Sus scrofa: one gene and its partners. Each later gene encodes a partner of the first gene's protein in a complex. Links are inferred from orthologs where the notes say so. Each region holds a gene or a part of one and is shown on either strand. Other genes may lie near its edges. The genes, in order: NCAPG, SMC4, SMC2, NCAPD2 and NCAPH.

Region 1 (6,197 bases):
CATGGCTTGGATCTATTGCTCTGGCTGTGGCGTAGGCTGGCAGCTGGAGCTCTGATTCAACCCCTAGCCTGGGAACCTCCACGTGCTACGGATGCGGCCCTAAAAAGCAAAAATAAATAAGCATGGAGAACCCAAATCTCAATCTCAAGTTTGCTGATTCAAGTTCAGAGAAGTCATACATGCATGACCTTATAATTAGAGGAATACATGGAAATAAAATTTGAAAGAACATACTATAAAACTGACTAGCTAGTACTAATAGCTATGACAATGAATAGGAAAAGCACACAAGCCACAGAAGTCAGATGCTCTTGGATGTATAATTTAAAAAGCTATTTATAGTTTTCATTGATTATCTTGCTATATAGTCACAGTATAAACAAACTACAATTTTTTTCTTCTAAACATTTTTTTAAAAAATGAAGATTAGGTTAGGCCTCTCTATATTCTAGACTCGCATGGCACACGCACCTTTCAGAGTCAGTCTCAGCCTCAGTCTGACGTCTCCTGCTCATTCTAGCTGAAGCTGTCACTGTTCTTCGTCCTTAAAGACAGTATAATTCATTATCAAAATTTAAGTTGCTCATATTTAATCTAGTTCCTGGGCTACCCAAATCCTTTATTTTCCACTTTCAACACAATTCCTCCTAGTTCCCAGCCAGCATGGTACAAATTATCATATGGAAAAAATGAATCCAAATAAGATTAAAATTTTACTAATTTCTTTTGCAACCTCTGATATCAGGCAAGGGAAAATATGGACACTGAATTATAAGGAAGCAAATTTTTGCTAAATTTATTTGGGAGAAAGAAGCATATGAAATACATGTTATATAAAGAAAGTACCTTTTACTGCACAAAGTATATGGAGAAACTAATTAAAAATTAAGGTTAGGTAAGATTGGTTAAGTCCATAAACAGATCCTAAAGAAACAACTTTAATCAGTAAAGTATGGTTTCTTATAAAATATTTTAAAACATACATGCTCAATTCAAATGTGTGCTCTAAAACATTTTAGCATAAAAATTAAAGCCTTTATACGCTAGGGAGATTACAAAAATTCTGCTAGCTAGAAATTTATAAGAGTAGGAAGTAAAGTGGCACCACTTATCATAAATACAACAGCAGATGTTTCCTTATGGCGCGGCAGATTAAGAACTTGGCATTGTCACTGCAGCGGCTTGCGTTTGATCCCTGGCCTAAGAACTTTCACAGGCCACAGACACAGCCAAAAAAAAAAGAAAAGAAAGAAAACAGCATATAAAGTTTGAGCTACTGGGGGGAAAAAAAAAAAAAAAAGAGGTGGGGTTCTCATGGCATATCTGACTAAAAGCAGTCTAATCAAAACCAAATTATTTGGGGGGAGTTCCTTGGTGGTCTGGTGGTTAGGAGTCAGCACTTCCACTGTTGCGGCCCAGATTCAATCCCTAGTTGGGACACAGATACCACTACCACATCAAGCTGCTACACACCAGGGCCAAAAAAAATAAATAATAAAAATTTTAAAGTTAAAATTATTCAGTATGATCATTTGGTTGAAATTTATATAACCTTTTGTTTCCTTCCAACTTTACATATTTGCTTATAAACTTCTAATGCAGTTATTCCCAAGAAAACATCCAACAACATGGGACTCATGTGGAAGAATATCCAGCAATTAGTATTTAAATAAATCACTGGCTACAAAACAATACTATGGCCAGATTCCATTTAGAAAAAGAATTAAGTATTCATTGAAAAGGACCTCAAAGAGTATTTTTCAGAGATTAAAATAATGGTTGGCTCACAGGTGGAATTAACATTCTTTATAATAGTTTGCTTGGATGTATTTTCTGATTCTTCTATAATAAGCATGCATTACTTTTGTAATAAGACAATAAAAAAAATCAAATTTCAGATTTAAGTGATCCCCTAACAGTCATGTATATTATTGCAAAAAATCTCCTCTTGTTGGATATCCCTTGGGAAATAAATTTTGTCAGAAAAATATGCAATACAAAGGAAAACAGAAACCCAGAAAAATTCTAGGAGAATAAAAGGGACAAAAATGTTTAATCAGGAGTTCGCATCGTGGTGCAGTGGTTAACGAACCCGACTAGGAACCATGAGGTTGCGGGTTTGGTCCCTGCCCTTGCTCAGTGGGTTAACGATCCGGCATTGCCGTGAGCTGTGGTGTAGGTCGCAGACGCGGCTCGGATCCCGCGTTGCTGTGGCTCTGGCATAGGCTGGCAGCTACAGCTCCGATTCGACCCCTAGCCCGGGAACCTCGATATGCCGCGGGAGTGGCCCAAGAAAAGGCGAAAAGACAAAAAAAAAAAAAAAGTTTAATCAAGTAAAGACAGACCACAAACTGATAATATAAAAAAATTATTGATCATTTGATAAAAAATCTTTATTCAACCCAAACAGTCCTTTGTATATATATATATATTTTTTTTTCAATCAAAAGCACTTGGAGCCAACACTGATACTATCTTTTAGACATAAAGAAAAACCTAGTACCAGCTGAAACAAAAAGGAAAGTTAAGGATATCTAAGATACTGAAAAATGCTTATCCCTAAGGATACAATGTATTTCACTGGATAAGAAAACTGAAAAATTTTATTCTAAAGTTAGTTCATATATTACCTCTGTTAGTCTGCTTCTGAGTGGATTTCATTCGGGTTACCTTTACATCTTTGACAGGAGTTATATACACTTCTTTATTCTTTTCTATTAAAGTAAATAATACAACAATTATAAATTAAAAACAGCTTCATGAAATATTTTAAATGACCAAATAAATGACAACCAGTCCCAAGAGCAACTACAGAAAATGTACCATGGAACGGTGTTTCAAAAAATGTGAACACTGGAAAATAAGCAAGCAAAACTCTTAAGAACATAGTTTTGCATGGTCATATGATAAGAAACGTACACACAAAAAACTTATAAAAATAAAACAAATATTTACCAGTGATACACTTCCCCGAGGGGACTTAATTAGAAAAACCTTTCTTCCATTCCTGATATCCAATCGCATGTGTGTGAAAGGTGGAAAGGACAGGATCTTATAGGCATGTGGTTACTACCTTCACTTTGAAAAAGAGTCGTGACTGTGCCGTCATCCTGCGCTGCTACAGCTTGGTCACCATTTTCTTTATTTCCTTTTTCCAGCTGAATCTTGATTTTCTCCAAAGCTCTCAGGCACGTTCTGTCTTTTACTTGCTATAACAGAAAATATTTTTTAGAGCAGCATTTTCTAATCTTAAAAAAAGATATATACTAACAAAGTTGTTTAAAAACATTCTAAAAATTCTACTAAGTTTATGAAGGCAACATTTACTTCAAAGAGCAAAGTCACAATATACTCATGTATATATAAATTACTAGAACCATATCAATTCTACTTTGCTAAAGATATATACACATTGAGAGTAACTAGAAACTACTTACCTCTAGAATCTCATTCAACAGAACCAGAAGATCTTTATTAGCAAGATCACTACTGAGCTCTAACGAACTCAAGGCTTTAGTATAGACCCGAACTTCTGGTGAACATGGACATGACAGGATCTCATTGCAAATTTTTATAGCCAGATTGTCATGAACTGTTAAGGCCTGGAAAATCAAGAGAAAAATCCTTAAAAACTGAGGTGGTATGATCATAATACAGTCCTACACATCATTTCCAACTACTGTGACATAATCCCAAATGCAGAATGTCTAAAAACCAATTAACCTACTCGCCAGATGAGCTCCCCTTCTTACAGTGGATGCTATGGTACAGGGCCTGCTCCACTTTTACTACTGAATCATTCATTCTCTAGGCTAGCATGAGTTTTGGAGGTTCAAAGTTCCCAATGCAGAAATGATCCCAGGTTGAAGACAATGTGCTCTGCCTAAGGTCACACCTCCTCCCTAAGAGTCAGTCCACATTCAGTAACTCGTAGATATACAGATACAACAGCCTAGCCTTATCTCAATTCTGGACAAATCAAAGAACTATCCCAATTCCGGAACCTCCTATGAGATCAGCTGGGATCTTACAACTACATGCCACTTCAACTTTGTGCTCTGCCCAATCTATTTCCCTCGCCCTTCCAAGATGTTCATCTTAAGAGTACGCCCTAATGTTAATCGCTTCTTTGAGCTCTTCTATCACTCATACTTCATTCAGCTCCTTTGCCTTGCAAAGCTTTCTCTTCTAAATTTTTGTATCTATTTTTTTTTTTTTTGGCTGCCCCACAGCATATGGAGTTCCCAGGCCAGGGATCAGATCTGAGCGACCCAAGCCCACAGCTACAGCAACTCTGGATCCTTAATCCACTGTGCCAGGCTGGAGATCAAACTTGTGTCCAGTGCTCCCAAGATGCTGCCAATCCCAGTGCACCACAGCAGGAACTCCCACAATTTTTTTCTCTTTTCTATTTCTTTTTCTGTAAGCTTTTATCTCCTAACTGCACCGATTTTTTTTTTTTTTTTTTGCTATTTGTTGGGCCGCTCCCGCGGCATATGGAGGTTCCCAGGCTAGGGGTCGAATCGGAGCTGTAGCCACCGGCCTACGCCAGAGCCACAGCAACGCGGGATCCGAGCTGTGTCTGCAACCTACACCACAGCTCACAGCAACACCGGATCCTTAACCCACTGAGCAAGGGCAGGGGCAGAACCCGCAACCTCATGGTTCCTAGTCGGATTCCTTAACCACTGCGCCACGACGGGAACTCCTGTACCGATTTTTAACTGCTCTCTTTGTTAATATTCTCTATACCTCTTACCAATTCACCTCACCTAATGATAATGACCACCAAGTTAATTTTCCTAATAATTTTCATCCCATTAACCCTTTCATTACATGCTCTGCAAACAGAGTCAACTCCAAACTCCCTATTCTAAGGTTCTGCCCTAACAGGCTTATTCGAGATCCTTAGCTGTAATGATTTCTTCCATAATTCCCCGACATGACTTGTACAACCAGCTACATTTAGCATCTTTCCTAAAGTCTCTTCTCTATGCAAACCACCCCTCAAATTCCCACAAGGCCTAAGTAAATAAAGCACTTAGTAGCTTTATCACTGACCCTTACTAGATTTTGCCTTAATATCCTTTGTAATCTTTCCAATAACATGTAACATAGTGGCTGCATACTTCAATTACTAAGTGTCAATTAAAACAGAAGACCAATCCTTTCACCTTAGTCAGCTAGTATCTGAAATCATTAACACACTGATTTTCAAATGGTGAATGTTTGAGCAAATGGTGTTAAAGGGTTAAAAACCAGCTTACATTTAAATTGTGTGAGATTACACACTTACCCCGCATCTTTGAATTAAAAACAAAACTAAGCTTGAGGTGAGTTTCATTCTTTGAATTCTCCTTCCTTGTATTAGAAACACAGCAGAAAAACCAACAATTGAGGACTCAGAGAGTCCTACATGACAGGTCATGGTTCAGAACGATTAACATCCCAGCACTAGGTGAGGAGAGGGTAGGAAGGACGACGAATTTTTGCTAACTTTAGCAGCAAAAACGTTAGCACTGACTACTTCTATTTTTGTGATTCTCCCCATTTCCCAAAAGTTCTTTTGCATTTTTAAAAGTATAGTTCATCTACAATGTCATATTAGTTTCAGGCATACAAGAGGGATTCAAAATTTTAATGGATTGTACTCCATTTAAAGTTATTACAAACTAATGGCTGTATTTCCCTGTGCTGTACAATATATCCTTGTAGCTTATTTATTCTATATGTAAATCCCTTATTTCTATCTTGCACTTTTTAATCCCTCATTTCTATCTTGTCCTTCCACCTTCCCTCTCCCCACTGGTAACCATTTGTTTGTACTCCATATCTGTGTTTTATTAATACTTATTGTTTTAGATTCCCACATATAAGTGATGGTATTTGTCTCTGTCTGACTTATTTCACAAAGCATACTACCCTCCAGGTTCATCCATGTATTTGCAGAAGATCTTGTTCTTTGTGCTATGTGCTACCGTATAAAACAGGAATCCCAAGGTCAATATGCAGCTTCTATTTCAAAGTATCTATGAAAGGGATTGTTTCACCAAAGCAACAGTGACTCCTTACCATCCAAAGGCTAACTCACCTACCTGATAATCTTGGGAATCCTTGGCTTTAGGATTTAATCCACTTGGTCTCGTCAAATCTACAAGTAACTCGGCAACATTAGTGATATCTATTTCAGCTAAAGG
Region 2 (6,197 bases), on another chromosome or scaffold:
ATTTCAACCCATGGACTGGAAACCTCTATATGCTGCAGGTATGGCCCTAAAAGGCCCCCCAAAATTAATTCTTTAAAAGTAAACATGTACTTGAATGTCCTAGATACCTAACTTTTTCCAAAGAGTTCTCTTGATTTTTTTTTTTAATAGTTTATGTTCTTTAAAAAGGACCAAAAAAAAAAATTCTCTTCATCTGATTCTGTGATGCAGAAGTTAATTGACCACCTGCTAAGCTTTAGGATTTGGAATTGAAACTAGACTGGTTTTGTTCTAGTCTTTAAGATTGCAAGTTTGGGTTTTCTTCATTCACAAGTTGACTTTGGTATTAATCTGAAATGACAGAGTAAGTAAACTTATGTCACTGGTATTCTTTTTAGGTAAATAAAATGGAATCACAGTTACAGAGAGACTCTCAAAAAGCAGTGCAAATCCAGGAACACAAAGTACAACTGGAAGAAACAGTAGTTAAGTTAAGGCATAGTGAACGAGAAATGAGGAATACACTAGAAAAGTTTACTGCAAGCATCCAGGTACTTGGTGTTTTGTTTTTTGTATTTTTTTCCTAATCAATTTTAGCTAAAATTATTGGAATTCAACAGCAGTTTGGCAGAATCATTTTGCTATTTGCTCACAGTTTTCAAATATAGGGGAGGAAGAAGGGCGGGTCTTTAAGTCGTAAGGCCTATTTTGTTTCCTTAAGTACTAATGGATAAATGCCCTATCACAGTGATGTCCAGCCACAGCCATTTCTATTTCCATTTGTACTTCATGGAAATGAAATGTGTCTTCCCTTAACTATTTAATAACCCTTTTTTTGTTTCATTCTCATTTCAAACTGAAATGTTTACAAAGTTTCAAAAAAGCAATGCATGCCCTCAAGTCGTCTTTAAAAAACAAGATTTTATTTGAGTTCCCGTCATGGCTCAGTGGTTAACAAATCTGACTAGGGACCATGAGGTTTCGGGTTTGATCCCTGGCCTTGCTCAGTGGGTTAAGAATCCGGTGTTGCCATGAGCTATGGTGTAGGTCACAGATGCGGCTCAGATCCCGCGTTGTTGTGGTTCTGGTATAGGCCAGCGGCTACAGCTCCAATTCGACCCCTAACCTGGGAACCTCCGTATGCCGCAGGAAGCGGCCCTAGAAAAGGCAAAAAGACAAAAAAAAAAAGATTTTATAAAATACCCAAAAGATTATCACCTTTAATTCTTACGTGTATTATTCAACTTTTAATGTAACTATCTAGTGTTTAAGTGTGTGTGTATGTATATGGTAGATACAAATCAACATTTTGAATATGCATGCGGATTTTTAATTAGTCTCATGCTAACTTATTAATTATGGTTTTCTTGACAAGCCAATGTAAATTTGCTTTGTCTACAGTTGCATTGGCATATTTTTTTTTACCCTAATTTGGTAAAGTTTTTCTGTTACTATGTACACTACTATGCTTAAAATATCTTTATAGGCATCCCTTAATACACTCATCCAGTTATTTCCTTAGGGTAGAGTCCTAAAGTTATAATTATTACTTAATATGTGTAGCATATGTGAATAATTTTTCCAAGTCTTTGAACACACTAGGTACTCCTCAATATGTTGTAAGTTTGCTACTCTAAAATATGTCATAATAATCTGTCTTTGTAATGAGTTTGCATGTTTCATGTGTTTTCTTGGCCATTTTCATGTTTTCTTTTGGTGTTTTGTTTTTTGTTTTCTTGCTTTTTAGGGCCACACTTTGGGGCATATGGCGGTTCCCAGGTTAGGGTTCGAATCAGAGCTATAACTGCTGACCTACACCACAGCTCATGGCAACGCCAGATCCTTAACCCATTGAGCAAGACCGGAGATCAAACCCACACCTCATGGTTCCTAGTCAGATTTGTTTCCACTGCGCCATGACGGGAACGCACATTTACATGTTTTCTACCCTTTTTCCTATTTGTCTTTTTTTTAAAGATTTTAAGTGCCTTTTTTAAATTAAAAATGTTTAAAGTAAATGTTACTGTTAAGTTAAAATACTGATCTTGAATGTTAAAACATTTCTGTAGCGTTTATCAGAGCAAGAAGAATATTTGCGTGTCCAAGTTAAGGAACTCGAAGCTAATGTACTTGCTACAGCCCCAGACCAAAAAAAGCAGAAATTGCTGGAAGAAAATGTTAATGCTTTCAAAGCAGGTATGTTTAAGGATACAGACTTCCCCCTCTCCCCAAAATATGGTCAAAGACAGGTTTGTAATATTTGAAATGTTTAAGATAGCAGTTCATAGAGTAAAAAACAGCAGCTTACATATGTAAAGTAACAACTCTGTTTTATGGTTTTTTATTTTTTCATTTTCAAAAGGCTATAAAGTACTATATTTTAAAATAAGTACTTAATATGACAGACAAGAAAACTGGGGCACAGAATAGTTTATATAATCTGCCCCAGGTCATATAGCATTTGGTTGTGGTATATGAATTCAGGACCAAGGTAGTCTGATTCTGGAACCTATGCTCTTTCTCTTTTCTCTCTCTCTTTTTTTTTTTTTAATTTTCCAACTGAATTTAATTTTGAAAAAAAAAAAAAAACCACTTAATAGAAGAGTATCTGTGTTGTGCCTCATTTGCAAAACCTTCAGGAAAAGACCAAAGTAAACCTCCCAAGTAAAATGTAGACCATCAAATGAATTGGCAAATTAACTGTAAACATAACCTCAAATCAGAATTAGGGAGATAAAAGGGGAAAAAAACTTCTAAATTTCTTTAAAGAGGATGAAATCTTCCACAGAAAACTAAGAGTATGATAGATTTTTTTTTTTTCTTGTCTTTTGTCTTTTTAGGGATGCACCCACAGATTGAGTCTTTTTTTTTTTTTTTTTTTTTTTTTAAGTACAATATAGTCTTAGCTGGAACCCATGGTCTTTATTTTACATTTTGTAATACTATGGCCAGATCTTCCCAAGAACCCTTCAAGATAGTAATTATTGTGTCAAAACTTAGACATTTTTCGTTCCAGAACATTTCCTCTTGTGTACACATAACATGTGAGTGTTCTACCAAAATAAAATCTTTAAGCAAAAAAGGGAATTAGTTCATAGACTCAGTCAGGATTGGATTTGACATTAAAATTTCTGATCATGCACTTGGAGCATCCCTGCTTTTTTGTTTCCATTGTGGCTTCAATTAAACATAGATAGATATGCATCTTATTGCAAGAGGAGGAAATGGTTGTTAATAATGACAAACCCTTTCCTGGCCTGCAGTTCCTTAACTAGTGACCCCAACAAATACAAGAAAGGACCCCTGTTACGGTTTGGTTTGTGAGGAAAAGAAGGCAGATACTTGATTGTTCATCCCAAAGAAGTAGTTAGAGTGGAGTTGGAACAGTTACCCAAATGTTCGGAAAATGGGGGTGTTTTCTTCCGGAAGAAGAAGAGGTATAGTTCTGTGACCTACATCACAGCTCATGGCAACACCGGATCCTTAACCCACTGTGCAAGGCCAGAGGTCAAACCTGTGTGGATACTAATTGGGTTTATTACCACTGAGACACGATGGGAATTCCAACACTATCTTCAAAAAAATCATTGAGACAAATAGTCAAGAAAGTACCCTATAATTTTCTCTTTTTTTTGGTCTTTTCTAGGGTCGCACCCAGGGCATATGGAGGTTCCCAGGCTAGGGGTCTAATCAGAGCTGTAGCTGCTGGCCTAAGCCACAGCCACAGCAACGCAGGATCTGAGCTGTGTCTTCAGCCTATACCACACCTCACAGCAATGCCGGATCCTTAACCCACTGAGCAAGGCCAGGGATCGAACCCGCAACCTCATGGTTCCCAGTTGGATTTGTTAACCACTGAGCCATGACAGGAGTTCTAACCCTAAAATTGTTTTTGAAAGGAGTTTCTGGGCATGAAGCCATTAAGAAATAAGTAGATTATGTTCACAGCTGAGCAAGAGAATTTAACCACATGTTATATTGACAGGGTATTTTGGTTTTGTGTTATAGGGTTTTTTGTTTTTGAGGTACTTTTCCTTTTTTTTGGTCTTTTTAGGGCTGCACCCACAGCATATGGAGGTTCCCAGGCTAGGGGTCGAATCACAGCTGTAGCTGCTGACCTACACCACAGCCTCAGCAACACCGGATTCTTAGCCCACTGAGCGAGGCCAGGGATCAAACCTGAATCCTCAGGGGATACTAGTCAGATTCGTATCCACTGAGCCAGGAGTGGAACTCCGAGGTACTTTTTCTTAAATGTCTAAAATTTCTTTTGCATGCATCATGTTAAGTCATGTTGACTGAAGAGATTTACATCTAGCAAGTGATGCTCCTTAGCCTAGAAACACGAATTTTTTTTTTTTTTTTCCAGAATATGACAGTGTGGCTGAGAAAGCTGGTAAAGTTGAAGCTGAGGTTAAGAGGTTACACAACATCATTGTAGAAATCAATAACCATAAACTCAAGGCCCAACAAGACAAACTTGATAAAATAAATAAGCAGTTAGATGAATGTGCTTCTGCTATTACTAAAGCCCAAGTAGCAATCAAGACTGCTGACAGGTACAGTATATATACCTACACTGTCTTCCTGTTCCCTATATCCACATTGGAAAAGAGGTTAATACTTAAATGTCCATTAAATGTTTCTGTTACTGTTACTTATTAAGCCCATCTGACATGTTATTACCTAATAGGATTTTAATAGGTGGACATATATAAAAAGCATTCTGACCAGTTTAAAACTGATAAAGCAGGTATGCTTTAGCAAAGTGTGATTCTATAACTCCTCAGTTGTGAGGATATGGAAGTCAAAGTTTTGTATCTCTGGCTTAGAGGAGTAGGTATAAATCATTTAAATAAATCTAGGTCTTAAGAGAATAAGGATGAGCTCTCTTAGCAAAATTGCTGTAATTTAAATTTTTAATTATCCAGATTATTCCATTGTCTCAATTTTTTTTAATATTCTTAGATCTTGTTTATAAAAGTGTTTCTGAAATAAAGCTAAGTCTGTATATAAAATGTTTGGATGTAAACAAACATCCAAACATTTTAAGACAATTTTTTGTCTTAAAATTATAACATTGGCTGCAAATTGATTCTTTGGTTATTCAGTTATTGCTGTGTCTTTTGTTCAGCGGTAAGGTGCTAATAAATAATAAGCCTTTTGGTTTTGCCTAAACATAGTTAGCAAAGTAATTGTAACTTTATTAAGAGAAAATATAGTCAGGTGTGTGTGTGTGAGAGAGAGAATGTTGTGGTCCCAATCATCCTTCCATATCCATCCCCCTGCTCCTGCCCCTTGCCCTTGGAAGCACTTGTTTCCACTGACTTGATCCAAGAGGTGTTTGTTTATTTGAAGGTAATAGCTTCATGGGTGTAAAGATGTAAGAATCTCAATCAGACAAGGAAATGACAAAAATAAAATAATTGAGTGAGACAACTTTGCTTCATAGTCTAAGATCAGATGATATATAAAGGCTTATATAAGAAGTTTCGGAGTTCCTGTCGTGACTCAGTGGTTAACGAATCTGACTAGGAACCATGAGGTTGTGGGTTCGATCCCTGGCCTCGCTCAGTGGGTTAAGGATCCGGCATTGCTGTGAGCTGTGGTGTACATTGCAGACGCGGCTCGGATCCTGCGTTGCTGTGGCTGTAGTGTAGGCCGGCGGCTACAGCTCTGATTCAACCCCTAGCCTGGGAACCTCCATATGCTGCGAGAGTGGCCCTAGAAAAGGCAAAAAGACCAAAAAAAAAAAAAAAAAAAAAATTTCATTAATTTATACTGAGTTTAATAAAATATACAACATCCCACAAATGTTTGTATAAACATTTAAGAACTAATTGAAGGATTTTAGCAAATCAATTTTAAAATCTATGATAGAAAAAGATGTTGCATTAATGTCATGAAGTGTTGTTGACACTTCATGACAGAAGCAGAATAACAAGTTAAACCCTACCACAATTTTAATATATCATTTTGCTTGTTTAGAAATCTCAAAAAAGCACAAGACTCTGTCTTTCGCACAGAGAAAGAAATAAAAGATACTGAGAAAGAAGTAGATGACTTAACGACAGAGCTAAAAAGTCTTGAGGACAAAGCAGCAGAAGTCATAAAGAATACAAATGCTGCAGAGGTAAGTGGGGGAGAGAACAGTATTTGAAGCAATTAGGAGTTAATAGACATCAGTATCTTGCATAGTAAGCACTCAGGTTAGAACT
Region 3 (6,197 bases), on another chromosome or scaffold:
CTGACTCTAGCAATTGCCTCAGGGGTCATACATAAAGCCATCAATGCTACTCATATTCTAAAGCGGCAAGATAGTCACAGGAAAGTAACTTACCCGCTCTTCAGCTTCTGTCAGTACATTCATAGCTCTCATGTTAACATTTCTTCCTAGTTTTTCCTTCATTTCTTCCAACTTCTGAAGCCTCTGACTAGCTTCTTTTGGGTTGGTAGTTTTGAAATCATAGGCAGTATTGGGTTGCCCAAAGAGGTGTTTGTCTGTATTAATCCAGTCATAATCTTTCAACATTTTGGACACCTAGCCGCATATCATGATGACAATAAAATGATATCATTATTTACAAACCTACATTTAAAAATTAGTTTCTTAAATATTTACTAATTTTAAATAAAAAATTTTGGAGGAAAAAAAAAATCCCACAACGACTCATCTGAAAAAATGAGGTTCACTGTAGACAGTGAACCTGTAATTGACCTAGAGGATAGGGTCAAGAAACATCAGATGATACAGAAAAAGATCTTCCTATTACTTAAGCATTAAAATAAGAGTCAACTCAGAGAAACAGTTATGAAGTATACATATATAAAATATCTCCATTATAATGAAATATAAGTCAGATGAAGCTCTAGATGGTACCAAATTCAATATATTGCTTCAAAAAACAACTCCTGCAAGTTAAGTGTTATACGAATACAGAAGTCAGATTTGGTAAAATGTGCAAGCCTAATCCTGACTGATATCTAATAAATCTTCTTGAAATTACAATCTAAGTAAAAAACTGTCCTAAATACTGACTCCCTCCCCACCAACCTCTTTAGAAAAGGCACAAAAAAATTCTTCCTCATATAACATTTAAAAATTTTAATTATACTGCTTAAGGAAGACTTTCTTCTACTAGAATTGTTTAAGGTTGGTTTTTACTGGTAGAATCTAATCCTTGTCCAGTCATTCTTATTAATTTCATGGGTATGGTCTCACCGCTAGACTCCCAAGTAAAATCATCATTTCTAGTCTATCTTCCCTGCTGATCTGTAAGCTCTATGAATGCCTTCTGTGTTCATGATGCTCATTCTTATATTGCTAGTGCCTGGCATAGTATGAAATAAATATTTGATAAACTACGTATTTCAAGGAACCCTTGGCTTTTTAGCAGCTCTGCTTCCAGGTACCTCTTTCTATGCCCTACCCTTAACTGTACCTAAAATGCCTGGCAATCACCAAAACTAGCATTTTCAATCACAAAAAAATTATTAATATTAGCACTGATAATAATAATTCAGTGAATCTACTAGTATCAAGCTACTAAGCTAACAGGAACTCAACACTAATAAAATAATAGGACATTATGATGTGACATAAAAAATCTTGTTTAAACTAAGCAATGAATCTGAGCAAGCACTCATGGTTCTTTCAGATAAGGTGGACACTGTTTTGTAGGCTCTGATCTTTTTTGAAGTTAAATCTCTTGGACTTTTATGAGGCTAAAAAGATTTAAAAGGCACCAAACTATTACATACTAGTAAAAAAACATGATGAGAGTGAATTATTAAGACCACATAAATGCAGCCTTTTAACAAAGCAATGAATTTCTGAAAAAATCATATATTCCCTTTAAAGTAGTTAAGGCATTGTTAGAGTTCCTGTCATGGCACAGCAGAAAAGAATCCAACTCAGAACCATGAGGTTGCAGGTTCGATCCCTGGTCTCACTCAGTGGGTTAAGGATCGGTGTTGCCGTGAGCTGTGGTGTAGGTCACAGACACAGCTCAGAGCCCATGTTGCTATGGCTGTGGCATAAGCCAGCGGCTGTAGCTCCGATTTGATCCCCAGCCTGGGTATCTCTATATGCCTTGCTCAAAAAGCAAAAAAAAAAAAAACAAAAAAACAGTAGTTAAGGCATTGTGATACATGAGAGAAACCTTGAGAATGACCAAAAACCTGTGGGATAACCTCAAAACAATAACTGCTTAACATCAGATTTCAAATGAAGCTATAAAATCTGCAAATTCTCATAAGGACATCTGGAAATTGATTAAGTCCATATTATAAAAGTTGCCTGTGTATATTTATCTGTGAATTCTCTATATTCAACTTGAAATAAGGTAAAGAATACATATTATTACCACTCATACATTAATAATTAGTTTTATGAACATCTGGGGATAAAAAACAGTCATTTCCATGGGAGACCACTAAATATTTGGTTAAAAATCTTGGAGATGAGAATAAACACCTGAAATTAAATTTAAAAACAAAATAATTTTGACATTTGGTGATTGCTAAGTAGTTAACATAGTTGTAAGCCTCCAAATTACATTACATAGTAGTTCTGCCATTTACATAAAATTCTTCATTGAGCAGTTTATTGGAATATTTCAACAACCCAGAGCCAAATATTTGATTAAGGGTAAAAATGAACAACACAAACATGCCTTTGCAGCAGCATCTTCAGCTTCCCGTTTATGTTTGTTGATGTTGTGATCCAGTTCCTTAATTTTAAGCTGATATTCATTGTTTTGCTCCTTATGTTTTGCTACTTCTGCATATTTAGCTTTAACTATGTTGTCTTGGGCTGTTATTACTTCTTTTTGCTTGGTCACCTCTTCTTGGGCTTTATTTACTGACTCCTAAAACAAATAATTAGAAGACAATATATAGCAAGGTAAAATGGGGACATTTTTAGTTTACTGAGAGATCATCTAACAGACTTCTGGGCAAGATGGCAATGTGATTACAGGCAGATGGTCACCTAACCCTCTACATTTTATATCCCCATTAAAATGACTAATAAATTTAGAGATTAAAAGAAAAAATTGTACTTCCACTAGAAAAAAGAGATGAGAGGCAGTGTTCATGCTGGAATCAACAAAGTTGCTACAAGATGCAGTGTAATTGGGACCACCTGGGGGGAGGAGGGACTATTGGAATCTGACCTGTGAGGTATCTCAAGAAAGCAGCATTTTGGGAGCATATACAAGATCATATTTATTAGGAGGGGCAAACAATGACGATAGTTAACACTACTGTATATTTGAAAGTTTCTAAGAAAGTACATCTTAAAAAGTTCTCATCAAAATAAACAAAATTATAATTATGTATGGTAACAATACTGGGATCATTTCACAATGTATACAGATATTGAATCATAACATTGTATACTTAAAACTAATATAAGTATTATGCCAATTATTTCTCGATTTTTAAAAGTAGGAGTAGAAATTATAAGAAAAACAGAATTCAAGGTCAAAATCATTGGAAAAGGTGAAGAAGATATCTAATATTCATAAGGAAGGAAGAGGCTTTACTTCTTGGTTCTGATATGCTTTTTCTCAAGGGCAAGCTTGTCATGAGCAGCGGCTAGCAGCTTAGAGGGCTTCCCCTGGTATCCCAGCGGTGGGTGCTTTGCAGCATGTCTGCAGAATGGGCATCTCCCCATGGCCCCCAGCAAGTGCCCCTGTGCAGCACTTTCCTGTGCATGGCTTTCCCTAATACTCAACTAAACTTCACCACCAGTGGGCCACAGTTATTCCTTCTCTAACCAAATGTAGTTCTCACCTCTGCAGGGAGAATGGGGCTCCTTTCCAGATGTTCCTTCCAAGGATGCACTGCCTTAGCCTTATGGGTAGGGACTGTTCCCTTTATCTGCTGTTCCTACATTCTACAGAGTTCTCTTTACCCCTTAGCAATCAATCCTGGACCATTCCAAACTCCTATTAATAATGTTTTATTTAAACTTTGCCTGGTCAAATTACTATGTAGTTTTTTGTATTCTAAGTAGACCTAGACTAAAACAACTGTATTATTTCAGGTCTATTTCTGGATTGGTAATCATCATTTTGCCTCTCATCATGACAAGATTGAAGGAGCTGAGACCTCTAAAGTCAAACATCTTCAAACCACCATTTCAGAAGCAGATTAACATTTGTAATTTCTCCAACATGGTAAGTAAAAATCTTACCTTATTTTTAGCCACCTCTGCTGCCACTACTGCAATCTGGCCTTCATAGGATTTGATAGCTTCATTTACAGCTTCAAGCTGTTGTTCACAGGATGCATGCTCTCTCTTGAGCTCTTCCAGCTCCAGGGTAATAGCTTCAACTTCCTATAAGAAACACAACCTGGGCATTCAACAGGTTGTTAACTACTGAAACATTAATACATATATGTCAACCAAATTAGCAAGATTCTTAAGCAAGTAAGACCCACAGCTTTGTTACTCAACCACCAAAAACATGTAAGCTGCTTCCAAAGAAGAAAGGGGAAAGGAAACTTACTTTTCTATATTTAAAAAAGGATGATGACAAACATACATACCATTTTTATGGGTTCAAAGAACTTTTTATAAACTATTTCTTTTACCCTTTTATTCCAATAGGGGAAAACAGTATAGAATTCTATGTAGCAGATAAATCAGAAGAGGTAAAGCCTTTTTAAAACAATTATTCAATGACAAAAAAACCCGTTTTAATTTTCTTCTTTCCCATTATAGTTCTTTAGAAAATATTTTGTGCATCTATTTAATGACAGAATTATATGGTGGGTTAAAAAAAAAAAACTATGAAAAAAGGTTAGATTTAAGTAAAATTATAAAGAATAGTGAGTGACTGAGTACCCAGACTTTGTAGACAGAAAAAAACACAGATTTTTCATGAATGAAGTGTTTACCAAAAGGTAATTTTGCTCTATCTCCAAAATTAGCAAGCCAATGCAATTCCTACTTAAACCTGTGTAACAATTGTAGGGTTTCAGAGTAAAGCATATTTTACTTTGACGCATAAGATATGTAATTTGTCTCCTAAAGAGACATATTTCACTTTGCGATTTGGTAACAAATACTGATGAATAAGGCCAAGGCCAACCATGGTGGTCTGCTACCTTCAGTTCTATAATGATGTTAAAAGATTAGCGCCATTTCAAAAAAAGGTATTACCTGCTGTTTCTCTTTCATTTTCTTGCTAGAAGCATCTGCTTTAGTTTTGGCACTATCTAGTTTTCTCTGAGCATCCTTTAGCTCTCTCTCTCTTTCAGCTTCTGCGTTTTTCATTTTATTTTCCAATACTTCATATTTTTCTTCTGCTTTTTTTTGAATTTCTTTGGTGTTTTTTAAGGTCTCCTCACTTTCCTCTGCATCAGAAAGTAGACAAGTACACCTAAATGAGACCTTCAAACTATTAAGTTATAGATAATGGCTTACAAACCCAACTTTTAACAGAAGGAAAGGTATGGAAAGTCAAAAGCAAGAGGTTTTTTTAAAAAACTGTTGTAATCTTATTCTAGAAATGGTATGTTAAAACACAGCCCATACCTAAGAACTATACTTGAATTATCTAAAGGTCTGTAAAGGAATTATTTCCCACATGAAACTGAGTAACATAAACTTCATTTACAACTTATCTACTTTAAACAAGGTTTTGAAACAACTTATTAAAAAGATCACAGACTACCTATTTACATACTTGTATGCTTCCTAAAACCAGTACTGAAAGTAAGAAAGCTTACCATTAACTTCATAAACAAGCTTGCTACTTAAGTGTTCCTTGCTCATTTATTTTAATCCAAGGAACCTCTTATTAAACGAGAGAAACACTGTGAGACCATGTCTAGTATGAAGCATATTACCTCTAAATTTATATATTGAAAAATAAAAAAGTAAGCTAGAATGACCGTGTCATGGTCACATCTGACATACACTATTAAGTGTTAGGATCTAGGTACAAATATAACCCTGAAAGCCATGACTACAATTTACTATGCTACTTTTCATTATAGAATGTCACTGCAAGAAATCAAAAGAAAAATTTTAAAAATACCTTGACACAAGGGATAATGGAAATACAAGGTACCAAAATTTGTATTAGATGTATCAAAAATCAATTCTAAGAATGAAGTTCATAGCAATAAACGCCTGCCTTAAGAAACAAGAAAAATCTCAAACACAAAACCTAACTTCCACAACTTAAGGAACTAGAAAAAGAACAAATAAAGACCAAAGTTAGTAGAAGGAAGAAAATAAGAAAGATCAGAGTGGAAATAAATGAAATACACTAAAAATAAATAGAAAAAAAAATGAAACTAAGAGCTGGTTCTTTAAAATATAAAATTTACAAACTTTTAGCTAGACCTAAGGAATAAGAGTCTCCCAATCAGAAATAAAAGAGATGTTATAACTTATATCACAGAAATACAAAGAATCATAAAGTT
Region 4 (6,197 bases), on another chromosome or scaffold:
GAATTCAATCACCTCCTGCACCACTGAGAGGACAGACACAAATGTCACCTATCTGCTTGGCAAAACTCTCAACACTCATAGAACCTTCCTTAATGTAAATCAACATCGTGTGGAAGCCTTCATTTTCCCTGAGGATGCTGACTCCCCTAAATGACCTACCGTGAAATACTAAATGCGCTAAAATAGATGTCCTCCACAGGGCTACACAAAGCATGGGGAAGTAAAGTATCTGGGCAGGTCTAAGGAGCAAATACAGAAAGAAAGACGAATACCACAGGACGAGGGGTTGCCAAGGGCAAGGGGGGAAGAGAGTGGGATGAACAGGGAGTTTGGGGTTGGTAGATGCAAACTATTACACTTAGAATGGATAAGCAACGAGGCCCTAATGTATAGCACAGGGAACTATATCCAATCTCCTGGGAAAGAACATGATGGAAGATGAGAAAAAGAATGTGTGTGTGTGTGTGTATACATATATATATGTATGCATGTATGAATGATTGGGGCATTTTGCTATATAGCAAAAATTGGTACCACACTATAAAGTAACTATAATAAAAATAAAGCAAAACAAAACAAAAAACCCAAAGGAGCAGACAGACTGTCAATAAAATATGGGCAAGAATGGTTTTTCCAACTTCAAGCCCCATCCTTACAGAGGGGGCGCTGCCCACCTGTGGTTGTGTGTTCATACATCATCTTGCTGATGATGCCAATGGCCTCTGTGATCTTCTGAGAGAAGCTGTAGGCGTCCTGCAAGTACTGCACCAGCATTTCCTGCTTCACCAGCTCATCATCTTCCCTGTGTTTCTCAGGCGCTGACTGGTCTTCACAGCCAGTTTCTCCTGAGCCCAAGTTCCCCACAGCCCCCTGGGGAGTCTTCTCCTGGGTGGGAGCTTCTGGGCCTAGGAGTCAGAGAATTACAAGATGGTTTTTGTACAGGGGCATATGGACAAACCAACAGCTCTAAACATCCCTGGATATTCATTTCTACAAGAGGAAAGCATGAATTTAGAATTAAGTATCTTGGTTCACATCTCAAAAAAGATTCGAGTCCTCTGTGGTCTGGAAATACCCTTTGATACCCCATGACTATCGATCTTGGGCTGGGGCTGCTTCCATTCCAAGGCAGAAGCACTGCTAACTCCCCTTTGGCCTCTTTCAGCATCAGGTTGTCAGCGAGGCCAGCATCTGACATAAACAGTCCATAAACACTAGTTGAAATGTCTTGCTTATTGACTGAAGAAGGAAAAGGAATTTACCTTTGAAGATAGTTCCTAAGAGAGTCAGGAACCTGGTCTCCTCTGAATCCTCTGGGTCCATATGACAGAAGGGCTGAGACTCCTGGAAGTGGCCTATGGCTTCTCGAGCTAGAATGATGGCCTGCCTGACAGAACATCATCTGTCACCAATTTGGCACCATAAGAGTGTCTGCAACCCTGTGTCAGGGAGCCTATTTCATGATTCTATCAAGAACTGAGACCTATGGGTAGAGAATTCTGTCATTTGTGTAAAAAGGGGGAAAAAATGAAAACATGTTTGACTGTCTGACTGAACATTATTTCTAGAAAGAGGCTCTGTAACAACCAGCATTGCCTTCCCAAGAGAAGGGAAGTGAATGGCCGGAAAGCAGGTTTGGAAGGGATTTTTCAAGGCATGTCCCTGTAATTTTAAATTTTTTACAATGTGAATATATTGTCTAATTTCAAAAAAGCAGGTTTCTGTTAAAACAAACAAACAAACAAAACACTGCTATTAAACCATTAAAAAAAAAGTTAAAAAACTTTAAAAATGTTTTGTTCTGGAGTTCCCATTGTGGCTTAGTGGTGACAAACCTGACTAGGATCCATGAGGTTGTGTGTTTGATCCCTGGCCCTGCTCAGTGGGTTAAGGATCAGGCTAGGATTAGACTCCTAGTCTGGGAACTTTCATATGTCTTGAATGCGGGCCTAAAAGACAAAGACAAAGGAAAAAAAAAAAAAAAAAGATTTGTTCTAACACATGTTTAAGTTTGTAATTGGAAGCCAAAGCCTGCACTATTATTAAGAACTTCACCCAGCTTCAACCGCTGAAGATTGCTGGAGGAAGAGACATCTCTAACATGGCAAGAAGCGTTTTTTTTCTTTTTTTTGGCCTCATTCACAGCATACTGAAGTTCCTGAGCTAGGGATCAAACCCATGCCACAGCAACAACCCAAGCTGCTGCAGTGACAGTGCTGGATCCTTAACCTGCAGTACCAAGTGGGAACTCCATGAAGAAGCCTTTTTCTGAAGGATCATTAGGATGCCTGGAGGCCCCTGGCCACCTTCTCTTTAGCCTTTTCTGAATAGCCTAATTAGGTAAGAAGTAAACAAGTAACTTTGGCTGAGGTTTAATACCTGTTAATGGCTATAAGGCTTTGGTTGCTGTGATGAAGTTCTAGACAAAAAAATCTTATCTCTAAGATCAGGATTCATATTAGATTGATTAAAGATTAAGGCAGGAGTTCCCGTCGTGGCGCAGTGGTTAACGAATCCGACTAGGAACCATGAGGTTGCGGGTTCGGTCCCTGCCCTTGCTCAGTGGGTTAAGGATCCGGCGTTGCCGTGAGCTGTGGTGTAGGTTGCAGGTGAGGCTCGGATCCCGCGTTGCTGTGGCTCTGGCGTAGGCCGGTGGCTACAGCTCCGATTCAACCCCTATCCTGGGAACCTCCATATGCCGCGGGAGCGGCCCAAGAAATGGCAAAAAAGACAAAAAAAAAAAAAAAAAAAAAAAAGAATTAGAAAGCCGTTACAGATCTTACGATCTAATCATGTCCCTGGCTTGCGGAAGTTTCTCGGCCAGGGATCAAACCACTGCAGTGACCTGAGCCTCAGCAGTGACAATGTCAGATCCTTAACCTGCAGAGCCACCAGGGAGCTCCCCCTAATAAACTATTTTAAAATAAATAATGACACTGAGGCCCAGAAAGTTTAAGCAACTTACTTTACAGAATCAGAATTATACTTATAGGTCTTCTTCTTCAAATGAAACAGAACTTTGGTCATATTTAATTACAATACTATGTACATTTAGTTGTTTTAGTAGTTTCTTTAAACATTTGTAAAAGTAGAAAGCACACTTAATCGCAGACTTTGCCTTTAGCATAAACCTGGTGTTCAGACCATTACTGCCATGAAAATACCTACCAGCATACCCTAAGTGCAGTTCATTTGAAAAAACACTGTTTCTCAAAGGTTAACTCTAAACCTTGGAGTTCCTGTCACGGCTCAGTGGTTAACGAATCCGACTAGGAACCATGAGGTTGCGGGTTCGATCCCTGGCCTTGCTCAGTGGGTTAAGGATCCGGCGTTGCCGTGAGCTGTGGTGTAGGTTGCAGATGTGGCTCGGATCCCGCCTTGCTGTGGCTGTGGTGTAGGTCGGTGGCTACAGCTCTGATTAGACCCCTAGCCTGGGAACCTCCATATGCCACGGGAGCGGCCCTAGAAAAGGCAAAAAGACTAAATAAATAAATAAAAATAAACCTAACAGGTCATTCGAGAATATCCTAGGCTTTCACATACCTGTAACTAGCTTTGGCTAGCAACTGACGGATGCGACTTTCCACCTCTTTGGCGGTCTCTGTCTCGGCAATTTCCTCAGGCATCCCCTCTCCTTCCTGGGGGAGCTTCAGCAGCTGCTGCAGGGTAGCCTTCAACTCTGGCAGCATGGCTTCCCACTCGTCCTCTGGGTCCAGCACTGTGGCTGAATGAGAAAGTCTCACTTAGACTCTTGCACTCAGTTTCCGGCTGGAGGGAGAAGGATGTCTGAGGTGAGCATGCCCATGCAGCGATCACTCACAAGCAGCTGCAGCTCGCCTCTGGGCCCTCATCTCTTGTAATTTCTGGGTTTCTTTCTGCAGTGGTCCAGCAAGGTCAGTATCGCTAAGCTATCAGGGTAAAATGAACATCAGGGTCATGAAGTCATGGAATTTCACCTCTTTTTCCATTTAATTTATCCTTTTTGGGGTGGAACAAGCCCTCTTACCTTGCAGGAAAAGGGATTATTGGCGAGAAAACTGGCCAGCAGCTGGATGGCATTTTTACATACCAGCACCGACTTGTCTGCCAGACGCCCCACTGCTAAGGCCACCACTGCCTGGAAACGTGTCAGGGGTAGAGCCTACGCGGGGTAAGAAGAGAGGATGAGATCCCACCTTACACCTTCCGTTCTGCTCAAGACGCTCATGAAGTACACTCTACATGAGATACCCACTCATTCTAAAGAAATTTTTCTATGGGATGTGAATAGTTCAGGAGTACTCTTTCGCAGTGGTTAAGATGCAGTGTAGTCCTTAAATGGAGCCCTGCATCCTTGTCCTTGATAGAGGAAGACCTTACTAGTCGTAGTAAAATCCTGAATTCTAGACTCTTCTTTGACACAGCTACTTCCTTTTGACCCTGGATTCCTCCCTTCTTCAGTCTGTACACAGTGGGATACTGTGTATCTTTATCATGTTGAAGGCTGCTCACCTTCTGCTGGACGATCCGGGTGAAAAGTTGCAAAACACGGCTCCGCACAAAGGAGTTGACGTCGTGGCCATGGGCTTGCAAGGTGTCCAAGAACTGGTCTCGGGTGTCTCGGGCCGCTGCCTCCAGCTGATCCCCATTCAGAACCTGCAGCACCATCTCTGCCATGGCTGCCAGCACGGCATTGCGCATCATGTAATTCTGAGGGAAATTAGGTTGGTATAAGCCTCTGCACCCCAATACTAACTGTCCTTTCCCTAAACTCTAGTGTTTATTCAGGCACAAAGGAGGGGTAAGGCCTTTAGGCAAGGTTAATTAAGCTTGCTTTTCTCAGCTCTGACTTTTTCTGTCAACTGCCCAACAGGTATTTTCCCCAAGAGCACTGGAAAAAGATGAATTCCAGGGACTTCCCATTGTGGCTCATCGGGTTCTTAACCGATGGGTTCAATCTCTGGCCTCAGTTGGTGGGTTAAGGATCCAGCGTTGCCGCCAGCTGCAGTGTAGGTCAGTGATGCGGCTCAGATCTAGTGTTGCTGTGGCTATGGCATAGGCCAGTGGCTACAGCTCTGATTTGACCCCTAGCCTGGGAACCTCCATATGCTATGGGTGTGGCCCTAAAAAAAAAAAAGAATCCTAGAAGGTCTTGTCTGCTCAGAGGAGAATGCAGGGACAAAATAAGCAAGGGCCAAGAGAAATTTTTTCTCACAAGGCTCATCCAGGTAACCATGGTGGCAGGTGAATATGAAATCACATTTCTCCACCAACACACTTTTGAAAAGCAGTAATTTCTACCTTCCATCTGAGGCTGAAACCCTTTGATCCTTATTAATAAACACTGCCTTTCCCTCACACTCCCTGTTCCACACCTTACTGACAGAGAAGCACAAATCAGCCCTAGTGCCAACCACTTCCATCACAGAATCTGATGGAGGATAGGGTCTGGGAGTTTGGCCAGGCCAAAAGCCAGAGAATGGGGTCTTGCATTAAAGGTTAAAGTATATTAGGAGTTCCCAATGTGGTGCAATGGGATGGGTGGCATCTCTGGAGCACTGCGATGTAGGTTAGATCCCTGGCTAGGCACAGTGAGTTAGGGATTCGGGGTTGCTGCAGCTCGGATCTGATCCCTGGCCCAGAACTCCACACGCTCCAGGGTGGCCAAAAAAAGAGGGGGAAAAAAAAAACCAAACAACAGGTAAAGTACATTAGATGAAAGGGTGGACTGTCTTTGTCTCTGACTTTCACCAAGGAGCACCGGCCATCAAGGGCCAGGTTAACACTAAGGGATCAGAGAACTGAGAGGGAAAACCTGGGTGGGTCTGAGAACCAGGTGACAGGAAGAGGCTGCATCCTGAGGACTGCATGGGATTCAGAATCACAGCTGAGTCACTCTCATTAGACTTAAGCTGAGGAACCATCATCTATCCCACCAGACCTGGATGAAACCAGCATGACACTGAACTAGGATTAATACATGGCTCTTTATTCAACTTAATAAACTTCAACTCTTTCTCTATAGGAAGGAATTGCCACAGCAAAAAGCCTAGACAACCTGACTTCATGTGAAAGCTACCCTCTTGTTAAGAAACAACCTTTCAACAATGGACACAGAACCCTTAGAAAACCCTGAGATCCCCAGGGGACCACCACCTACTTCTCCATCCAGATGATCTAGCAGAATGCATATGCTGGACATCAAGATGGCTGGGACA
Region 5 (6,197 bases), on another chromosome or scaffold:
CCTGAAATAGGCATATGACAAGTAAAACTAAGCAGAAGAAAGAAGCATTACCATCAGCTCTTTGTAAAAAGAAAAGTCTGGAGTTCAAATAATGAAAAAAATCTATTTACACCACAAAGTTACAGAGCTTCCTTTGGACATTCTAAAACACAGTCCCTCATTTCATCTAATTTCTTCTCAGTCGAGCACAAAAAAGGTACCCTGGAATTTCAGTGTAAAGAAGTGAATCAAATATATATATTAAATGGAATGATCATTTAATACGAATTGAATCTGGCCAAGACTTTCTAGAGCCAAATAGCTAGCCTTAGCCAATAGCAGAGAAACCAATTCTCTCGGCCTGCAGGCTTCATTCACATACTTTGCTTGTGTGGCTGGTTCGCCGCTAGTCATCCAGTTTATAACAATCTTTGGAGAGATGGCTAGTTCCACAAACATAACTAGCATCGGTCCATTCCCTACAGCCTTATTTAAGAATCAGGCACTTAAGAGAGCAGTGGGTTAAAACTGAGAAGGAAAAACGTCAAGCTCATGCTAATATGACTCTCATAAAAGAGGCAAATTCAACAGATCTCAGGCAAATAATATTGACTATGAGGAGTTCCCTAGTGGCCTAGTGGTTAAAGATCTGGCATTGTCACTGCTGTGGTTCCAGTCACTGTTGTGGAACGAGTTTGATCCCTGGCCTAGGAACTTCTGCATGCTGTGGGTGCAGCCAAAAACAAAAACAAAAAAATTCTTGGCTTCATCTTTACCTTCTGAGGCTCAGCCACCAGATTTGACTCTCCATAAGTTGTGATATCTGACCCTTGGACTTCAGGCATGTCATTGTTGTCTTGTGTTGTCATAGGTGGATGGCCAGAATGGTCAAAGGTCCCAACTGGTCCCACAGATAAGTCCTCTGACTCTTCATCATCACTGTCAGCAGCCTGGGCGAAGAAGTGAGCTTTTCAAATTTGGCAGAGCTGTTTAAAAATATCCTTGAACAGATTCCATACATAGCAGGAGCAGAGCACCTGAGAGTTCGTGATGTCACATCAAACCTAGAATGGACGTCTAGGTGCCTCCAGGGAGCCCAGCACCAGACCTGATCTGTGGGATGGGGCCGGGAGTTGGTTTTTTAAAAGGCTCTCTGGAGGACTCTAATGCACACTGAGTCTGAGGAGCACTGATCAAGAAGGCAGTTTGGATTTTCATTAAAATATTAACAACTTTCTTCTAAGAAAGAAAATAAGGTGAATAAACTATTCTTCCACTTCTTTTCCCTCTGCCCACCTTCAGGGACACAGATGGGGCCTTCCCCCACTTCCATCCACTATCTCACTTGTAGACTCACAGAGGGATTTTGAGGTTTACTCTGAGATCTAAAGATGGGAAGTAGCTTATACAATTCACAATCGGAGAACCAAAATCAGAGCTACAAGCCTGGTCTCGTGAAAGCCACTCCATAGGCTATTTTCCCTGTCAGAACACACTGTCTTCATATCTGTGTGTTTTGTCTCCCCAGCCAAAACATCAGCTCCTAAGAGTGGGAGAAGTGTTTCTTTTCCTTAGAAATCCCAAATGACCACGGCGAGCACTTTGTACAGGCTAAAGACTCCATCCACATGGTTGCCGGTGTACTACAGTATGTCCGTGTTTTTCTGCACACAGAGCTCAGGGTAAGGCAGGCGCAGGTTCTGGCTACCGCCTCAGCTCTGCTCAGTTTGATGCCGGGGCAGGCGGGCATCCACAAACCCTCACCTAACTCAGAATCGCCCCCAGCCTTCTGCCTCACAGGACAGGTTGAAACTCTCCTGCTCAGAAGAGAGGATGGAGTTCTGGCCCCTGTTTACCTGTAATCCAGGGCAAAAGTTGGAGGTATCGTTAGGGTTGTTGTAATCATAGGCTTCAACTTCTTCATAATGCTCGGTCCCTGCCCTTTGGCCTTGGGCCATCTTAAGTAACTAGAATGAAGGAAAGAACAACTGCAGAAAGCAATTTCTAGAAAAGCAGCTAGTAAACTAGGCTAGGGAGATAACCTTAGTTCCTATAATCATTTCCCAGCACGTTAGGGTTCTGAGAGCCCTGAGAAGTCATCTGATCCAGCCAACTTTCAACTAACTGCACAGCTCTACCCTAGAGCAAGCCCAGGGCTGCAGGGCTCCAAGCTACGTCCAACCCAAGTAAACCAGAGCAGCCAGCCTGCACTTAGGTCTACATACAACTTTATTTGAAAAAGTGTTCTTTCACTAAAAACAAAACCACCTAGGAGTTCCCATCTTGGCTCAGTGGTAATGAACCCAATTAGTATCCATAAGAATGTGGGTTTGATCTCTAGCCTCACTCAGTCGGTTAAGGATCTGGCGTTGGCATGAGCTGCAGTGTAGGTCACAGATGTGGCTCGATCCTGTGTTGCTGTGGCTGTGGTGTAGGCTGGCAACTGTGGCTCCAATTCAACCCCTAGCTTGGTGTGGCCCTAAAACAAAACAAAACACACACACACACACACACACACACAAAACCATCTAGAGCTATCTGAAAAGAAGTCAGCTTGTTGCTGCTAGAACAGATCTGAGCCACATCCATGGGCCCTTGTTCCCTTCAAGGGTTTCAGAGCAAGTCTGCGTCCTCTTTGGGGAGTGCCTGTGGACCACAGTCCTTCAGATATTCTCAGGCCATTAGGCCAGTGATCTTCAGTGGGGGGGTGTGTCTTTGGAGTGAAGGAAATGGGATTAAGACTATGTACAGTTTACAAAAGTACAGTGAATATTTTAATATAACATATACTACAAGACTTGAGAGTTGGTGTTAGTAGATGCAAACTATTGCATTTGGAGTGGATAAGCAATGAGATCCTGCTGTATAGCACAGTCACTTGTGATGGAGCATGATGAAAGATAATGTGAGAAAAAGAATATAAATATATATATACATATATGTGTGTGTGTGTGTGTGTGTATATGTATGACTGGGTCACTTTGATTTATAGCAGAAATTGACAGAACATTATAAACCAACCATAATGGAAAAAATGAAAATCTTAAAAAATACTACAAAAGCAGACCAAAAGACCTCAATGCTTTTGTAATATAAATCCAAAAATAAATTAATAGATATTTATTAAGAAATGCCCACTTGCTCTACTTTTCTTCATATGTTACAATTTCTAAATCCTTCTCCATTTGGAATACTCTCCTCTGGTCACACTCTAAATTGTCCAGGAGTTCTCACTGTGGCTCATCAGGTTAAGGACCTAACATCATCTCTGTAAGGATGCGGGTTCAATCCCTGGCCTCACGCAGTGGATTATGGATCCATCATTCAACTGATCGGGTTAAGGCCTCTGATTTGACCCCTGGTCTGGGAACTTCCATATGCTTCAGTAAATAAATATATAAATAGTCCATAGTCTACAAGAAATTTTTTAGGAAGTATATGTGACCCCCTCACATACTGGCTGGCTGCTATGAGAATCACCCTTTAAAATATCAAACTGGATGTGTGAATAATCTGTATCGTCTCCAGTACTAGGCACTCTTCAGTGTGGCTCTGCTGGCAGGAAGAGGGGAGGTATCCCAGGCTCTCACTGCCTGGCTGCCCTACTACACACCCAGGGAAATCTGCTCCTGTGGATAATCAGAAGCAGGAATTCTTTCCTCTAATGGAAACAATTATGGAAAAAAACCACAAAATACAACTCCTGGAGTGCAATGATCCAATGACTTTGTTTTACCATCTTCACATCTGAATAAGCAATTACCCCCTAGGCCAGGTTCTTCACTGTTCATAATAAGGGCTTGAGGGAGGAACAGGTAGCTTGTGGCCAGGAGAAGCAGCTGGGGCTTGGGCCAGGTGTGGTGAAGTGTCCTCCCATCTCCCTTCAGCTCCCCAGCAGACTGGTTCTGCTCCTCCACCTCATGAGTCGAGGGTCCAGTATGGTTACCCTGGCAACAGAACTCGCACTTGCTGCTTAGCATCACCAGAGGAGGGAGCATCCCAGGCAAAGGAAATGAATAGCCACTGGGCTGCAGTGGAAGCTGCTCTTAGAGCACCGATCTGATCAGCCATGGAAGGAGCTTGGGCAGCATGTGCAGCACCAGGGAACCCAAGGACCATATGGTCAGATGCTTGGCATCTACATCACCTGCATATAACAGCAGGCTTGCATCTACACCTGGATCACAGGGAGGCAACATGAGCTGGGGAAAGCATCTGGCTAGTGAATCCACAACTATCATGAGAAACTGACAGAATCAAAGACTAAAGAAATAACTAACATCTTGTAAAAACCTTGACAAAAACTTGTTTAGCACTCTGCATTTTGGCATATAGGCCTGAGTGTCCAGCAATCCAACCAGGGGAGATATCTGCAAGTCTTGAGCATGTGTCTGTCCTACAAGATTTTCCCTCTAGCTCTGCCTTCCGATGTATCTCCCGGAGATGCCCCTGGACTAACACAAACTCCTTGCACTCTTGCCATCACCTCAAAGGCATAGACAGTCACACTATCAGCCACTTGATACCTCTGATGCTATGAACAGGTTTAACAATGTGACTTTAAGGAATCAATGAACAGCCTTACCCTGGTGCCTGGTTTGAGATGCAGCTGGACAAGACTTTCAGTCTCATAGTGGAAATCTGTAGGAAGAGTGGTGGCTCTCCAATTCTGGTTCTCCAAAGTGGACTTGCTCAGAATAGTAGCAGCCTATTAATAAAAAACAAAAAAAAAAAAAGCTTTTAGCCATCTTTAATAAAAATGGTCTCTATTTTCATTTTTTGTTTTTGAAAGGCCTTTGGGAAGGGTTTGGGTAGCACTCATCTACCATCAGAGTTCTTATTTATATGTAAAGGAGTGATTCTGTCAGATATTATTTATATTCTAAACTTGATTCTCTCTGCCACTGAGTTTGGGACTATTTCTTAATTCCTCCAGAAACTGAGGGAGAATGAAGCCATCCATTTAACTCTGAGTTAAATTCATAATGAATTTTTTAAAAATCACATCTGAGGAGTTCCCATTATGGCGAAGCAGGAACGAATTCGACTAGGAACCATGAGGTTGCAGGTTCGATCCCTGGCCTCGCTCAGTGGGTTAAGGATCCAGTGTTGCCGTGAGCTGTGGCATAGGTTGCAGACGTGGCTTGGATCTGGCATTGCTGTGGTTCTGGCATAGGCCAGTGGCTACAGCTCTGATTAAACCCCTAGCCTGGGAACCTCCATATGCCGTGGATGTGGCCCTAAAAAGGACAAAAAGACAAAAAATTAAATAAATAAATAAATAAAAATCCCATTTGGGAGTTCTCTTGTGGCTCAGCAGGATCCAGCATTGTCACTGCAATGGCTTAGGTCACTGCTGTGGTGGGGGTTCAATCCTTGGCCTGGTAACTTCCACATGCTATGGTAAAAGGTAAAGAGGAGTGCAAAGAGTAATTTAAGAAATGATAATAAACCCAGCACAGGGAGTTGCCGTTGTGGCACAGCTGAAACGAATCCAACTAGCAATGATGAGGTTGTAGGTTCTATCCCTGGCCTCACTCAGTGGGTTAAGGATCTGGTGTTGCCTTGAGCTGTGGTGTAGGTTGCAGATGTGGCTCAGATCCTACGTGGCAGAGGCTGTGGTGTAGGCTGGCAGCTGTAGCTCCGATTCGCCCCCTAGCCTGGGAACCTCCGCATGCCACAGGTGCGGCCCTAAAAGCAAAACAATCAAACAAACAAAAAAACCCAGCACAAACCTTTGTTTTTCGAAAATAGACATGAAAGTCAATATCATCATCAAAGTCGATTTCAAAATCCTTCTTTGCACTCTTCTTTCTGTTCTCTGATTGTGAGGTAGTATCTTCTGCAGAAATGAACACAGATGTCAACACTGCTCACCTCTGTGGCCTGTTTCTTCATCTTATAAAATCACTTGACAGGCTTATTACCCACAAGACAGAATTTGTGTCTGAGCATCACAACAGCACTAGGAAAGGCAAATCATATATCTAATTTTCATCTTTAACTAATAATTTGTGTTTTTGCTTAAAAAAAAAAAAAGGCACAGTAAAAAATCTTTTTTTTTTCTTCAGAGAGAGAATGCAAAACACCTAACACTGGCCTAGCGCTTCAGAGGGCTGCGGAGTGCTGCCTGTATACAGCCCGGTGGGCCCTCCGGAGCCTGGGTGTCAGTCCCACCTCAGGCCATTGTTTGAAGTCATGTGGGTAATGGGGCAGTA

What was found.
Region 2: NCAPG (region 1) and SMC4 share a complex: the UniProt entries of both Homo sapiens proteins name them as parts of the condensin complex. The link is inferred for Sus scrofa from reciprocal best matches to the Homo sapiens genes NCAPG and SMC4.
Region 3: NCAPG (region 1) and SMC2 share a complex: the UniProt entries of both Homo sapiens proteins name them as parts of the condensin complex. The link is inferred for Sus scrofa from reciprocal best matches to the Homo sapiens genes NCAPG and SMC2.
Region 4: NCAPG (region 1) and NCAPD2 share a complex: the UniProt entries of both Homo sapiens proteins name them as parts of the condensin complex. The link is inferred for Sus scrofa from reciprocal best matches to the Homo sapiens genes NCAPG and NCAPD2.
Region 5: the proteins of NCAPG (region 1) and NCAPH are in contact, whole or in part, in a crystal structure (PDB 6IGX), measured with the Homo sapiens proteins. The link is inferred for Sus scrofa from reciprocal best matches to the Homo sapiens genes NCAPG and NCAPH. Residues at the interface, in NP_071741.2 of Homo sapiens: Lys11, Phe14, Arg15, Gln18, His50, Tyr51, Lys53, Tyr54, Val55, Met56, Val57, Glu62, Ala64, Val65, Val68, Phe102, Ser106, Glu108, Ala109, Asn110, Ser111, Val114, Arg115, Ile149, Arg150, Lys152, Asp153, Lys154, Arg159, Glu188; in NP_056156.2 of Homo sapiens: Glu471, Ile472, Asp473, Phe474, Glu475, Asp476, Asp477, Ile478, Phe480, Val482, Tyr483, Phe484, Arg485, Lys486, Thr487, Ala489, Ala490, Thr491, Ile492, Leu493, Gln501, Asn502, Trp503, Ala505, Thr506, Thr507, Leu508, Phe512, Tyr514, Val516.

The regions. Positions count from the first base shown.
Region 1 is NC_010450.4:12,799,804-12,806,000, reverse strand, and holds part of NCAPG (condensin complex subunit 3), read right to left. Parts: coding exon 6,096-6,197; intron 3,603-6,095; coding exon 3,438-3,602; intron 3,210-3,437; coding exon 3,074-3,209; intron 2,715-3,073; coding exon 2,631-2,714; intron 545-2,630; coding exon 472-544; intron 1-471. UniProt on the Homo sapiens protein: Regulatory subunit of the condensin complex, a complex required for conversion of interphase chromatin into mitotic-like condense chromosomes.
Region 2 is NC_010455.5:100,108,058-100,114,254, forward strand, and holds part of SMC4 (structural maintenance of chromosomes protein 4), read left to right. Parts: intron 1-377; coding exon 378-530; intron 531-2,048; coding exon 2,049-2,175; intron 2,176-4,348; coding exon 4,349-4,538; intron 4,539-5,967; coding exon 5,968-6,112; intron 6,113-6,197. UniProt on the Homo sapiens protein: Central component of the condensin complex, a complex required for conversion of interphase chromatin into mitotic-like condense chromosomes.
Region 3 is NC_010443.5:245,439,662-245,445,858, reverse strand, and holds part of SMC2 (structural maintenance of chromosomes protein 2), read right to left. Parts: intron 5,121-6,197; coding exon 4,927-5,120; intron 4,099-4,926; coding exon 3,955-4,098; intron 3,938-3,954; exon of another isoform or gene 3,805-3,937; intron 2,624-3,804; coding exon 2,429-2,623; intron 295-2,428; coding exon 94-294; intron 1-93. UniProt on the Homo sapiens protein: Central component of the condensin complex, a complex required for conversion of interphase chromatin into mitotic-like condense chromosomes.
Region 4 is NC_010447.5:64,145,845-64,152,041, forward strand, and holds part of NCAPD2 (condensin complex subunit 1), read right to left. Parts: coding exon 6,140-6,197; intron 4,690-6,139; coding exon 4,492-4,689; intron 4,142-4,491; coding exon 4,007-4,141; intron 3,909-4,006; coding exon 3,821-3,908; intron 3,725-3,820; coding exon 3,544-3,724; intron 1,388-3,543; coding exon 1,263-1,387; intron 906-1,262; coding exon 675-905; intron 24-674; coding exon 1-23. UniProt on the Homo sapiens protein: Regulatory subunit of the condensin complex, a complex required for conversion of interphase chromatin into mitotic-like condense chromosomes.
Region 5 is NC_010445.4:46,857,307-46,863,503, forward strand, and holds part of NCAPH (condensin complex subunit 2), read right to left. Parts: intron 5,822-6,197; coding exon 5,715-5,821; intron 4,688-5,714; coding exon 4,565-4,687; intron 1,947-4,564; coding exon 1,836-1,946; intron 930-1,835; coding exon 756-929; intron 2-755; coding exon 1-1. UniProt on the Homo sapiens protein: Regulatory subunit of the condensin complex, a complex required for conversion of interphase chromatin into mitotic-like condense chromosomes.